Linked DNA regions of Lonchura striata. The protein of the gene in region 1 purifies or fractionates together with the protein of each later gene. This does not show direct contact. Links are inferred from orthologs where the notes say so. Each region holds a gene or a part of one and is shown on either strand. Other genes may lie near its edges.

The links.
Region 2: the proteins of CTDSPL2 (region 1) and PDIK1L purify together in Homo sapiens (affinity purification with mass spectrometry; 4 studies listed by BioGRID and IntAct, counting the BioPlex papers as one, with this or other methods). This does not show direct contact. The link is inferred for Lonchura striata from reciprocal best matches to the Homo sapiens genes CTDSPL2 and PDIK1L.

Annotation. Positions count from the first base shown.
Region 1 is NC_134613.1:24,082,409-24,090,218, reverse strand, and holds the start of CTDSPL2 (CTD small phosphatase-like protein 2), read left to right. Parts: upstream 1-4,795; 5' UTR 4,796-4,852; intron 4,853-7,810. UniProt on the Homo sapiens protein: Probable phosphatase.
Region 2 is NC_134628.1:395,212-402,171, forward strand, and holds the start of PDIK1L (serine/threonine-protein kinase PDIK1L), read right to left. Parts: upstream 3,007-6,960; 5' UTR 2,919-3,006; intron 2,296-2,918; 5' UTR 1,218-2,295; coding exon 933-1,217; intron 1-932. Other genes in the region: E3 ubiquitin-protein ligase TRIM63, read left to right, coding at 6,243-6,401, 6,490-6,656.

The sequences.
Region 1 (7,810 bases):
CCTTGCCAGCTCAGTGAACCTCTTAAATAAAGTTCAATGCTTGTACAATTGTGTTATGGGTTTTTAAGACAGTTTATTATTACTTCAAGTGTCAGTGGCGAAAAAAATTCCCCCCAGTTTCTGCATTTAATAAGTGGAACTCCAGCTCAGCGCTGCGTCCCGGTTCCAGCTGAACCCCACATTCTCCAAAGTCGTGCAGCACCACACGGCACAGCTTGGGGAGACCCCTGAATAGAGCTACTTCTGAAATGTTGAGATTAAACCATTCTGTCCTCACAGCTGCTTTTCCCTTCCCTGCCCATCAGCAGGACCATCCCTCTTGGGCTCTGTGCTGAAGGTGAGTTGCTCCATGTTCGTCCTCTGCCTTTTCTTTTTCTAGCATTCCACGTTTTCTCTTTTTTCCCTCTTTCCACGTGAGTGATTACTCTGCTTCACCCTTGTGTGGCCACCCCTGGAGTATTGTGTTCAGTCCTGGGCTCCACAGCTCAGGAAAGACAAGGGGCTACTGCAGAGGGTCCAGGAGACCACCAGGATGATGAGGGCTCTGGAGCACCTCTCCCAGCAGGAGCTGCGGAGCCGTGGGCTCACAGCTGCCCCTGCAGCCGGGCTGTGCAGCACCGAGGGTGACAAACCAGCTCGGGTTTGTTTTGGAAATGCAGCTCAGACATCCCTGTGCTTAGTGCGGAGCCCGCTGCCGTTGCCATGGCAATGGCACACAGACAACGCTGACAGACCTCGAGCAGCTGCTTCCCTCAGCACCCAGCGAGACTGGGAATCCAACCGGCTCTCACATTCCAGGTCTGCAGCAGAAATCCAGCAAAGCCTCTTCCCACCGCACCGCGGCCAGCCCGCATGTGAGCCAGCACGCCCAGGTAGCCCCAGCAGCACACCCACTCCTGGCTCCGAGGCTCCAAATCCCTTTGGATCCATGTGGCAATGCACTTCACACGAGGAGCTGACATTCGGCTGCCAGAGCCGAGGGATGAGCTCAGGCAGTGTCAGAAATGCAGGCACCTCCACCCCGCAGCCAGAGAAACAGCTCCAGTTACTCCAGCCAGTCCTAGCTGCCTGGTTTTGGAGGTTTTCAGCAAACAGACTCTGCCAAAGCTTTCCCGAAGTCACATGGATCCCACAAAAACAAAGAATCGCTGGTGAACCCATTTTAATTTCAAAATGAGGAAAACCAAACTGATGGGCAGGATCTTGCCAAAAGGTCAAACCCAGTTCTGGATGAAACAAACCCCTGTATTTTTCAGCATTTTAATAGCCATGAAGAGCTAAAGATACTTTGAGGTGTCAAGAAACAAACAGATGCGAGATAATAGTTTGTGGATTTTATTAAATGTTATCATTTTACATGTTCATATATGCAAACCCAGCAACAGTGGGAAATCCAAAGCCTGCAGGACAGAAGAGCTGGTGAGTGAGTGTTCTGCAGTAGTATATACAAGAAGTACAAAATGTTTTCTTCTCTATAAATCTATTTACTGCCCGTTTACAGTTTGCACACTGGATTGAACAATGCTCATTCATGTGGTGGTTTTGGAGGTCCTGAGCTCTCAGCAGCACCCATTTCCCATTTCCTGTACACACACAAACTCTCTATCTGAAAACTTTCTCCTTTATCCCTATTAAGGAGAATTTCCACATGCCATAAATCTGTCAGCTGCAATCACTGCTCCCGGAGATACAGAGTGCTTTCAGCAACCTGGCAGCCAAGTAGGGAAATTCCAGCTGAAGTAACCTGGGACCCTTCCTTGAGGCTGACCAAAATACTTGATAGGAACAAATCTTGCCGCAATGAACTAGAAAATGTGAGATTAGGCACTTTATAAGGAGGAGCAGTGGCCTGCTGTTCCAGCTGGCTCCAGCACTCAGGAGACCCGATTTCTGTAGTTTAAATAAAACAGGAAAACAAACCCACAAAACCAGCCAGGGCCATCTCTCCCTATTTATGAGAGTGCAGTGGAATTTTCAAGCCAGCCAGAAACACAGTAGTGATATTTATGCCTGAACACTTTTATGCCAATATAGAAACCCTAATACTCCCAATTCCTCAACCTATGAAACCTGTGTAGCCACACTGGGATTACTGGGATGGATAATCTACAGTTCAGCTTCCCAAAGCCCGCTGGTGGCTGTGCATTTCCACCCCTGCAGGAATGTCTCATGCCACTCTCCAGTGCTGCACTGTGCCAGATCAAACACAAGGCTCGTTCCCGGGTGTTTCTGCGGGGACTGGGAGCAGATGAGTGCCTGTTGCTGTCAGCTGGAGTGTCTGCAGGGAGAACAGCAAGTCTGGAGCTGCTCCTGGACAGCCAGATTGGCTCCCAGACCCGGGGATGGAGCAGCAGCACAGCCTGGGAGCTGCTTCTCAACTCTGCTCACCTATCCAATGGAACTGATCCCCTTTGGAAAGGCAACAGGAACAGCAAACACGAAAAGGGCAACAGCAACATATAAACCCAAAGGAGACTCCTGGATTTGCTGAGAAGTGCCAGATGCTGAAGTTGAACTGAAACTGGAGCTGGAATAAACCCCACCCAGCCCTGAGTTGCAGATGCTACAAAAACCTGCTGGTTTATATGATGTATAAACACAGAGCTAAGGGCTCTGCAAGGCTCAGGGGACAGAGCAGGGAAGAAATCCTCAACCCTGAGGAACGGCCTTCGAGGAGCAGTGGGGATCCCACTGCAGGAATGGGCAGTGTTCTGACAAGTGCACATTTCCCTTTCGGTTTCTCTGTGCAGTGAAGCAAACGTGCTCCTCAAATGCCCCAGGAGCCCGGATCCCCGGGCCAGGGAAGCCCAGTGCTGCCAGCTCAGCCTTTTCCTTGGCCCAGACAAACACTGCGAGCTCCCCAGGCTCCGTGTGCCAGCACAGGGTTTTCACACTGCCCACTCGGGGCTGAGGCTGTGCTCCATGGGGAGCAGGGTACAGAGGGGACCTCTGAGCAGCACAGCAACACCATCAGCAAGATGGTTTTCCATATTCCCTTTCCTGCAAGTCTCCCTAATTCAGCACCAGGGAACTCGAGCACAAGGCGCTGTGAAAAAACAAATTTTGATATCCTGTTATCCAGAAAAGGGCAGTGCTCACTGCCATAAAGATCAGTTTGAATCCTGAGTCACACATTTAATCTCTTGTCAGAGTGTTTTTGGCCGTGCTGGTGCTCACACAAATACCTGCTTGCTTTGAACCTTGCTGGATCAGCTCCTCTGGCCGCTCGTTTCAGTTTAATTACATGGCTTGAGAGAGTATTTCCACCCACCGTTTCCCAAAACTCCCACTTTCTAAGTACCAGTGACTGTCCTTTTGGGGTAACAGTGTGAGACATCACACAGTTATCCTGTCATACAGGTTCCTCCTCAGGGACTGCCAAACCATCTTAATGAGGCTCCAACATGCCCAAACTAACCTTTTTCACAGCTGATCATTCACAAAATATCCACAAGAAATACTTGAATGCTCTAAAGGAATATGGTTCCCTGTTCTGAATGAGTTTCCACTACTTTCGTACTACCTCTTTCCTATGGTAAAATTAGCTTTGTAGTGTCTTCTGTTAAAGACAGAGTAGTAGAGTCCTGTGACAGAATTCTAAAACAAATCTTGGCTTCACAGCAGCAGATGTACTTCTCTTTAACAAGCCAATAAATATTTTAGGTGACTAGAGAGCTGGGACTTCTATAATCTGATCCAAGTTCAAAAGCTAAGCAGGGAGTCAACAGGTACCAGGAAACACAACACCCGTGTAGGTTTCTTTACTGCTAAATTAGAGGATGCCAGACACTCCTGTAAAACCTTCCATTCTGGGCAGTACCTTGAGATGTTATCCAGTCATAACACAGGTGAACCTGAGAACTGATTTCTGTTACAAAGACTGGTAAGTAAAAGTGATTACCAAGAGAAAAATTAAGATATCTAAATTCAGTAGCATTGAGACAAGAAAAGTAACGTCACCACATCCTCATACTGCAAGAGGTGGCCAAGCCGCTTCATTAAGCCCTTTAAATAGCAAATCACGCAGCATCCTCAGCATTTCCCACACGAAGAGGCTGCCTAGAAGACAAAAAAAAAAAAAAAAACAGAAAGCGGAAATAAAAACTTCACAACCGACTCCACAGGCGACTTAAAAACAGCAACCGAAACCGCAAGCCGGCAGTGCCCTACGCTTCGGGAATGGCACGGAGGGCGAGGCGGCAGGGCCGGGAGCCGGGCAGCGCCCGGGGGAGCGCGGGGAGCGGGCGGCCGGAGCCGCGGCGGGCGGGGCTGCGCTGCCCGTCCGTCCGATCGTCCGTCTGTCCGCCCGTCCGTCTGTCTGCCCGTCCGCCCGGCCGCGGCGGGTGCTGCCCGGCGCTGCCGCTGCCCGGGGAGCGCGGGCAGGGCCGGTTCTCGCCCGCCGCCGGGACTCGGGCAGGGCCGGTTCTCGCCCGCCCCCGGCCGCTCGCGCCCCGCGGTGCCCTCAGGGCTCCGCTCTCCCCTCACCTCCCGGAGCGGCGGCGCGGCCCAGCGCGGCCCGGCGCCGGGACAGCGGGGCGGCCGCGCCTCCTCCGCCGCTCCCGGCCGCCGGCCCCGCCGCCTGCCAGGCCCCGCTCCGCTCCCTCCTTCCCGGCCTGCCCCGGCCCGGCCCCCTCCCCCGGCCGGGCGCGCCTGCGCGGCGGCCCCGCTGCCATCCGGGTCCCTCGGTGCGGTGCAGCGGGTCGGTAGGCGGGAAATGGCGACTGAGCGCTGAGCGCCGAGCGCCCGGAGCGCGGACCCGCCGCCGCCGCCGCCCGCCCCCTCCGCCCGCCCGGCCGCCCGGCCGCCCGCAGCGCGGCCCCGCGGCGCCGCTCCCCGGCCCCCGCTCCCGCAGGTGAGTGACGCGGCGGAGCCGCGCGGGTCCCAGCCCGGGATCAGGTGGGGGCGCGGGGTGGCCGCTGCGAGTGACCGGCGGGATGTCCCCTCGGGGCCTGCCCGCCGCGGGCCCGCCGCCCGCGGGCACCGCGCGCCCGCCGCGCTCGCCCGCCGCGGCCGCTCGGAGCCCCGGGCGAGCCCCGGCCGCGGCCGTGGCGGGGCGGCCCTGCCGCGGGCAGCGGCGGAGCGGTGTCACCCCGCCTGGCACCCCCCGCGCCCCCCCGGGCCGAGGCCTGCGGCGGGTCCCGCCCGGCCCGTGCGCCCCGGGGCCGGGCCGGAGCCGCGGCGCTGCGGGCCGTGCCGCGCGGGTCCCGCGCAGGACGCGCCTGTTGCTGGCGCGGCTCGGCGCCGGACGCGCCTGTCAGCGGCCCGGGGGCGGCGGGGCGCCGGCTCCGCGCTGCCCGGGCACGGCTCCGCCGGCGGCTCCGCGGATGCCAGCGCGCCGGGGACGCCAACTTTGTGGCCGGCACCGGCACCGTGCAGGAGCCCCGCCGCCCGGGGCCGTTATTGGCATTCCCGGTCCCTGCTGGGAAGGCGGCGGAAGGAATTAGCGAGCCGCATACCACATTGATTATCTGCTCGCTCGGTGTTACTGGAGAGCACCGCACGAGCCTGTTGCTCAATTTTATGGTACTTAAGAGCGCTCGAGAGGACAGGTCTGGCTGTTTGTGTGAGGCTGTTCGGGTGAGCTCGAGCCTACGTCTGTCCAGGGCACTTCGTTCTCTGCGGTGACAGTTGTGATGCTGTTTCTGGTCCCAAGCCTGTTGTTTCTGGGAGGGATTTTCCATCGCCTTCCAGATGTTCATGGTGCGCTTCTAAAAGTAATTTCGAGTTTGTCGTTTTTGTCTTAGCCTTTGTTGACATGTTTCCACTGTTAAGAGTAGCCCGTGAGGAAGATCTCTAAGTGTAACTACTACTCTGTTGCCTTGGGCAAGCGACAACCTCTTTTGCCGTTTCTCCACGAGTAAAATGGGGATAATAATACCTTGGAGAGTTGTTACAAGAAGTAGTTAATGTTTGTAGAAGACTTAAAAGACCTAAGTGTTATTAATTAAGCCCCATGACACATTAAGGTAAGAGTTAGCGAGCCAGGTTTGCACATGGATGAACTGAGGCAGGAAGAGATTATGATTTAGCCAGAGTAACGTCCTGGATCTGTGACAATAGCAGAAAACAAGTTGTAACTACTTCATGCTGTAGGCACAAGGGAGCCGTTCTGGATAACAGATAGGATTCCAAGATACTTGCCCCTCCCTCGCCCCCCCTCCCAATTTCAGGCTTTTCTACTTTAGGAGGTTCTGCCCGTGTGACTTCCAGTTGACTGGATAGCTCCAAGGACACTTATGGCTTGCCCACTTAAAAGTGTTTCAGCAGTTTTCATAACAAGATATATGTTCTAGGATGCTAGCCAAATCCTGACTGAAATTCCATGAAACATTCTCCTCTTTTCCCCTGAAAACATCGTGTGGAACTCAGTTTTGATCCTGTTCCAGTCAGTGCAGTGTGCAGTAAAGCTGACATTCCTGTTCCATCAAAGTTCTTTATTAAAGAAAAATTCCCCTGTCAGTCTGCCCTGGAGATTGAACGGGACAGTTGGGCCGTTTCTCTACGGATGTAAACATTCCACATATGCTGGGGCCATACATGCATTTCATAATTGAAAGGTGATTTTCCATCCCCAGCCTAGCACCACCAGTGTTGGTGACTCCCTTCCAGGGTGGCAATTCCCCAGCACGAGGATGTGACACTGGCAGAGGCTCAGGAGCATTAAGCAGTTAAAAAACCAGACAAAGTTGTCAGGATTCAAAAGGAAACTGAGGCTTCACCATCCCAAGTTTTACCATACTGCATTGGCTTTTCTTTGATCTCGTGCAATGCCGTGAGGTTGACGCCAACAGAAATCGTGTTTGCAGGAGACTTTGGGAATCACATATGTTCTTTTGACAGATTTCTATGCACATATTTCCCTCCTGTGGAACAAACTTCCACAGGTGTAAGGAGAAGAACAACTTGGGGCACTTGCACATTTTTGTAAAAACCATTCTGAAAGTCAGGCTGAACTATTTTGGCAAGAACTTGCAAGAAAAGCTTGAGCAGGGGGATTGCACAAGAGAAACTCCAGAATTCCCTTCTTACCTCAGCCATTCTGGGAGTCTGTAAAACCATGATGCATGAAGTAGGGCTGGAATTTGACATAAATTTTAAATTCCTGTGTATTTCTAGACGTGTGTATGCTCTGAGAGGAGCTTGAGACTTCCTGCTCTTTGGGACAGTGCCTTGGGGCTCCAGAGCATCACTGTGATCATTTCAGGATCACAGCTGGATAAGTAATCCCAGAACCCTGAAAGTGCCTTTTCCAGGTTATGGGTGTGCAGCTGTGCCCTGTCCAAACCCTGCCCAGGTTCTGCCCCAGCCGTGTGCCTTCAGCCTGCTCTCCCTGGGGAAGCAGTTCTGATGGGTGGTGGGTTTTGGACTTTGGTAGAGTCGCTGCAGGACCACTGAGATGATCCCACATTTAAAGGCTGCCCCTCGCACACGCTCCCTCTGTGGCTGCATCCTTGTTCCCTAATTCCTGGGGAGTGTTCTTCTCCACAAGTGCCTTTCTCATTCCTCACTGTCAGTAGATCAGATGTGGTGATCCTTGCTCCTCAGAGCCCAGAAAGTAAAGGACCAAGTCTGCATGAAATCCCTTCATTTGCTGGCCCCTGAGTCGCTGTCACCATCTCCTGTGTATTTTAAAGAGCAGATTGGTTTTTGTCTGTTTTATGTGAAAAGTTCCTGGGGTTCTGCTCACAGCTCTGGGGTTCCCAGCACAGGAGGGACATGGACCTGTTGGAGGGAGTCCAGAGGAGACCACCAAGGTGATCAGGAGGATGGAGCAGCTCTGCTGTGGGGGAAGCCTGGCGGAATTGGGATT
Region 2 (6,960 bases), on another chromosome or scaffold:
TCTGCCCTTCAGCTGGAAGCAGCTCCACTAACACCAGGAAGGTAAAGCTCTGACTTCTGCCCCATGAGCTGGCCAGTGTTATTTTGGCCAAATCCTTCCCTGAGAACAAGTCAGGAACAGCTCCCAAGGCACGGGGAGCTGGCAAAGCCAAGGATCTGTTCTCAGCCAGCATCTGCAGGGCTGCTCACCCCAAAGGGTGCCAGCAGCAGGGTGGCAGTGAAAACTGAAATAAAACAGCTGACTAGGGACAACACAGCAAACACCGAGCAGCCTGCTGGCTTTTTAAACCAGAAACACTCATTTCTGCCCGGGGCTGGTCTATACTTAGGGCTGCTTCTTGACAAGGGAATTAATTACATTGTCTTTCATTGTCTTTCCAGAGCTACTCATTCTTCAAACATACACATCTTCAAACTTAAAGGACGCTTTCACAGTGATATGTATTCCCTAATTTGTACTCTTTGAAGAGATTAATAGTTATTTATTAAAAAATAAAACCAGCTCATTATGTGCTACCAATCTGAAAGAATTTTAAGTGCTGGCTTCCTATAAATGAAGACACTGATTTCCTCTTCCAAGGACACTCGGGATGGAATTCCTCCAAGCTCTGTCCCAGGACAGGAGTGTTCTTTAACCTGCAACTGCCAAGAACTCCACAGCCTGCACCTCCCCATGGGCTTCCTCAAATTATCAGAGCAGCTCTGCATTAAATACAAATCCTGGAGTCTTTCAGAGCAGCGCAGCTTCAAACTCAAGATCCAGGCGATTGTCCTGGTTTTTTTTTTAAAGACCTCTATTAAATTCTGGGCGTCAGCGATGCAATAATGCCCTGGCCTAGCTGAGCACAGCTCCAAGCCCTGGGCTGCCCCACCTCCTTCCCCCCAGCTCAGCGTCACCGATTCCTTCCACCCCGTCCCCTCGGCCTCGTGTACCTGTAAATACAGGGAGGAGCTGGAGCCATGGGACATCTTCTGCACCATGCCATCTTTCTGCAAGATGCACTCCTCCAGGTGAATGACGTTGGGGTGCTGGCTCTTGATACTGCTAAGGGCCCAGAACTCGCGCAGAGCCAGTTCCACGTTCTCGGGAGCGTGGCACCGGATCTTTTTGACGGCCACGCGGGCACAGGTCCTCCTGACGACCGCTTCGTACACCACACCATAACTGCCACGACCAACCTCCCGAATTAGATCGTACTTAGGCTGGCTACTCACCATCTTCAGGAGCAAAGGTTCTGGGGAAGGGGGAGAAACCCACACAACTAAAACTCAGGCACAGGCAGCGCGCTGCGTTTCCCCTCCCTAGGGGCTGGCCTGCCCAGACCCCGCCGTTCACGGGGGTTTCAGCGCTAGAACATTCCAGAAGCTCCTCCATAAACCTGCACCTGCTGCCACGGACCAGGCGGAAGCGAAATTACATTTTTGGTTAGGGTTTCCCACGCGGCCCGGCGTGTTCAGGGGGGCAACAATTCAAAGCTAGCCCGGCAGGGTGCCGAGGCAGGGCCAGCGCTCCTGCTCCTCTCCCTCAGCGTCTTCCGAGAGCTGCTGCAGGAACAGCAGGAGGCTGGCATGCTCCCCAAGCAGCCCGGAGAGCAAGGAGGTCCCAGCTGGAGGCCCTGGTGGGCAGCAATGGCTTTTAGCAAACTGCTTTTGTGTGGAGGCGGCTGCGGGAGCAAACGTTTCTGTTATCATCCAGTTGTTTGACTCAAGGAGAGGAAGCTTCAGTCGCTCCCCGTTTATCTTTTTGAGGTGACTGATTTTTCGCCAAGCCTCCCCAGCACGAGGAATCTACATCTATGGAAGGTTAAAAAGGATAACTGATTGCAGGAGTTTGCACCCAACGTCTAGCTTTCACTTTTGCTCAACAGAGCAAGGACAAAAGTTAAGTTATTGCTCTGAAAGTAAAACAAGAGAGACACACACACACACAAAAAAAAAGAAGGGGAAAAAAAAAAAAAAAGCCACCAAACCCTGCTGCAGATTTATGACCCTCCCTACACGCTGCCCTACAAGATTACAAACCAAACACCAGCACCACCTTCATGCAACCAAACCAAAATGGGACACTGACTAGAGACAGCAATAAATTAAAATAAAAAAATAAGAGCTTGACTAGCCAAGGATCACTGGTCAAACAGAATGAAACGCAAAACCAAAAGTAAATAAATAAATAAAATCACACTGATAGAGCAGAACTACAATAGCTCTAAGACAGCCAGTGATAAAGGTAATTCTCTTTATGTCAGGCAATAAGGACCACATGTTATTAGTAGGAAGATTTCAAGTATTTCCACTGCTTTAGGTAATTTTTTTTTTTAGAAAAAAAAGGAAAAAAAAGAAAAAGAGAGAGAAAAAAGGTATCATCAGTCTCAGGTAATGCTACAGAGATATTTTAACCTTTCAGCAAAGCTGTGCGAGGGACATTTGCAGCAAGGATTTGAACCAAGCTGTGCCGTGTGTGAGAACAGGGGTGCAGCTCCACATTAGGGCTGGGACTGAGATGCAATGGGCCAACAAGGGCAGGAGCTTTAATTTAATCTCAATTTCCCAGTGGCCAAACAGCCCCGGGGGAACGCGGCTGCCCCGGGGGCGGCCGGGCGGACACCGGGCCCAGGCAGCGAATAACGAATAATATAAACACTCGATTAGAGAATAACACAAACATAAAGGTACCGCAGGTGATATATATACACCCCTCCTGCTCGGCGCGGCCGCACCTGCGGCCCTGAAGGGAAAGCGCCGCCTCAGAGCGGGCGATGCTGCCGGCCCGCCGCTGTGGGCATGGCCCCACTCCCCCCGCCCGACCTGCAGCCGGATCCCACCCGCTACAAGCACCACCACAAAGGGAAAGGGGAGGCGGTGGGGCCGAGCCGAGCCGAGGCGAGCAGGGCCGAACCGGGCCGGGAGAAGCCGCGTTACCTCAGCGCCGCCGCCGCCGCCGCCCGGCCGCCATCTTAGGGCTGCGCTCCGCCCGCCGCCCTCAGCGCGGCCACGCCCCCGCGCGGCCACGCCCACACAGCACCGCGCCCGCTCATTGGCCACGCCTCGCCGTGACCACGCCCATGTAATACCACGCCCGCTCATTGGCCACGCCCCGCCATGACCACGCCCATGCAATACCACGCCCGCTCATTGGTCGCGCCCCACAGTGACCACGCCCACATAATATCACGCCCATTCCTCGGCCACGCCCACTCCCCGGCCATGACGCGAGCGCCGTGGGCGCTTAATGAGATTAATTAATTAATTAATCAATCAATGAATGACTTAAATTTCTGTTCGTTAATTAGGAATGAATTCCTGGCTGTGAAGGCGGACAGGCCCTGGCACAGCGTGCCCAGAGCAGCCTGGGACAGTGGGAGGTGTCCCCGCGGTGGCAATGAGATAAAGTAAAAATTTAACAAGAAAGAAATCTGGATTTAAGTAAAATGTGTTTTTTAGTCTAGTAACTACAGCACTAGCAAAACTACCTTAACTAAAAAAAAAAAAAATACAGATTTCCACACTAAAAAGATAAGAGACAAGAAAAACTCCTCAAACCTTAAAACAAACAAAACAGAGTGACCCAAGAATTCTTTCTGACAAAAACTAAATACAAGTGTAACTAACTGTAAGTATAACGCAAAATAAATAAAATAAATATACATAAACCTATTATAAGATTCTATGCATATAGAAGTTAGAGTAATAAAAAAAGATCAGGAGTTCTCAGGGGTGCACATGTCCATTAAAGAACAATGAGTCCCCACATGCATCCACAACACTGTGAATAAACACACCGTTCCCCACAAATCTTTATTATAATTGTGGGGTTTTAATCTTTCTCCGCGTTTCAGCATTGGATGGGACTTAAGCTCCTTCCAAAACAAACAATTCTGGGACTCTACAATTTATTGCTTGGCGTCCAGAAAAAAATGAGTAAAGCGCCCCTGTGGCCCTTGGGCGTGCCCTGGCTTGGTGTGACAGTGGCACAAGAGCTGTCGCCCCTCGCTGTTCCCTGTTCTGTGCCGTGGGTCCCTTTCCCCCTCAGGCTGCAGGGCTGGAAGTGCCCCCCATGCCCCGGGGCTGGGGGCGCAGGGCTCCCCCACCGTGGCAAAGCCACCACAGGGACATTTTGGGAGAAGCCAGGGCCACCGACTGCTCAGAGCCCTGCGAAGCCCCGGCAGAGGGAGATTCCTCCCTCAGTGGGCTCTCCGGGGTTAATTGGGAAGGATCCCGGGGGTGATTAGTGCCCGGCTCCTGCCTAAGCTGTCCCAAGCCAATTAGGGGCCAACGAGCCTCTTGTGGGTTCGGAAAGCTGCTTAGGGCATTACAGCCCCTCCGCTCCTGGGAGTCCCCTTCAGCGAGTCCAGCAGCGATTCATGAACCAATGCCATCAGGATAGGGTGCGACCCCCGCGCTGCCCTCCCGGGTGCCCACCAGCCCCGCCGTGCTGCCGGCGCCTCGCTGGCACAGCCCCGAGCGCCGCCCCGGGAACGATCCTGCCCCGTGTGCCCCGCGGCTCCCGGCGCGGCCACCCGCTCCACGCGTGAGCCGGGGCGGAGGGAGCCCAAAACACCCGCGTGGGGAGAGGAGGGGGTCCGTGCCCCCGGCACCGTGTGCTGTGCACCGCGTGTGACACATCCAGGGAGCTGGGCACCCATTTATTCATGTACCTGGTCATCCATTTATACATGTACCTGGGCATCCATTTATCCATGTGCCTCTTCATCCATTTATCCATGTACCTGTGCATCCATTTATCCATGTACCTGTGCATCCATTTATTAATATACCTGTGCATCCATTTATCCATGTACCTGTGCATCCACTTATCCATGTACCTGGTCACCCATTTGTACATGTACCTGGTCATCCATTTATCCATGTACCTGGGTACCCATTTATCCATGTACCTGTGCATCCATTTATCCATGTACCTGGGTACCCATTTATCGATGTACCTGTGCACCCATTTATCCATGTACCTGTGCATCCATTTATCCATGTACCTGGTCACCCATTTATCCATGTACCTGTGCATCCATTTATACATGTACCTGGTCACCCATTTATCCATGTACCTGTGCATCCATTTATACATGTACCTGGTCATCCATTTATACATGTACCTGGTCATCCATTTATACATGTACCTGTGCATCCATTTATCCATGTACCTGGGCATCCATTTATTAATATACCTGTGCATCCATTTATCCATGTACCTGTGCATCCACTTATCCATGTACCTGTGCATCCATTTATCCATGTACCTGTGCATCCACTTATCCATGTACCTGTGCATCCCTGCTCACCTGTGTGCTCACAGACACCTGCACCCCATACCTGCGCACCCAGGTGTCCCCCCACACCCCGTACCCGTGCACCCAGGTGCCCCCTGCACCCCATACCTGTGCAGGTACCCCCTGTACCCCGTACCTGTGCACCCAGGTGCCCCCCCACCCCGGTACCATCTCCTGCCCGCAGTCGCTGTGGGCACCGCCGCTGCCACCCCGTCCCCCCGTGGTGACCCCTGTGCCAGCCGCGCTGGCAGCTCTCCCCGCGGCCAGCGCTGGCCCCTGGCCAGCCCGGCGGGGATCGTGGCCGGGGCTGCTTCCAGCCAGGGCTGTGCTCACCCTCTGCCCCCCCAGCCGTTTCTGGGTCAGCGCTTGAACCCCAGCAGCGGAGCCAGCTGGGTCATGGCTGTGCCAGGGCCGTGCCAGGGCCGTGCCAGGGCAGCCTGAGCAGCCCCCTCTGGGTCTGGGCTCCCGGAGGAGCCCCCCAGCCCGTGCCTGGGGAGGGCACACCCCGCTGCGTGTGCCAGCCATGGGGGCTGCGTCCCTCCAGCGCACGGGGGGAGGCGTTTGCCCCCCAGATTTGCTCCTGTTTTGGGTGGGGAAAGGGACAAACTGTACGAGCCAGCCCTGCTGCGGATTTCTGGAACCGTCGCAATGTCCTCATGACCGCGGGGCTGGCGCTTGCTGCTCCGGGGTCTCGGGACGCGCAGCCGCTTGTTTACCCCGCGGCTCCCGCTCGGGCACGTCCGCGGCACGGGTGGGCAGCGCCTCCTGGACAGCCTGTGCCCATCTTGTTTACCGGCCCTTGCGGTGGCTCAGCACCGTGTGACAGCTGCTGTCCCCTGTCCCGGGACACCCGACACCGAGCCGCGACCGGCAAACGCGTGACGAGGCGGCGGCTTATAAATAGCGGGGCGAGGGGCGCCGGCGGCGAGAGCGCCGGGAGCAGAGCCCTGAGGAGCCCATGGATTTCCAAGGCGGTATCCTGCAGGATGGCAGCCCCATGGAGAGCCTGGAGAAGCAGCTCATCTGCCCCATCTGCCTGGAGATGTTCAGCAAGCCCGTGGTCATCCTGCCCTGCCAGCACAACCTGTGCCGCAAGTGCGCCAACGACGTCTTCCAGGTGAGCGGGGCCCCCGCGCCCGGCCCGGGGGGCACCGGGGTGTTGTGGGGGTACTGATGGACCCCCCGGGCTCATCTTCCCCTCCCAGGCTGCCAACCCGTACTGGCAGAGCCGCGGCAGTCTGATTTCGGGGGGCCGGTTCCGGTGCCCCTCGTGCCGCCACGAGGTGCTGCTGGACCGCCACGGCGTCTACGGGCTGCAGAGGAACCTGCTGGTGGAGAACATCATCGACATCTACAAGCAGGAGTGCTCCAGGTGGGCAGCGCGGCCATGGGCTTACGGGGACGTGGGGACACGGGGATGCCCCAGCCGTGCCCCGGCAGCAGCGCTGAGACCCCCAGAGATCGCACCTGGGGGTCTTCCTGCTCAGCCATCCCCGGTTCAGAGCTTTTCCTGACTCAAATCGCCATCAAAACCTCCCTCCCGTGACTCAAAACTTCCTCCTGCACCCAAAACTTCCTCCCCCAGCCCCATTCTCCCCTCTGCCCCAGCAGTTTGTGCCTCTGGCTGTCCCAGGGGGGTGGCAGGTCCCTGGGGGTGGTGCCAGCCGGGCACGTCC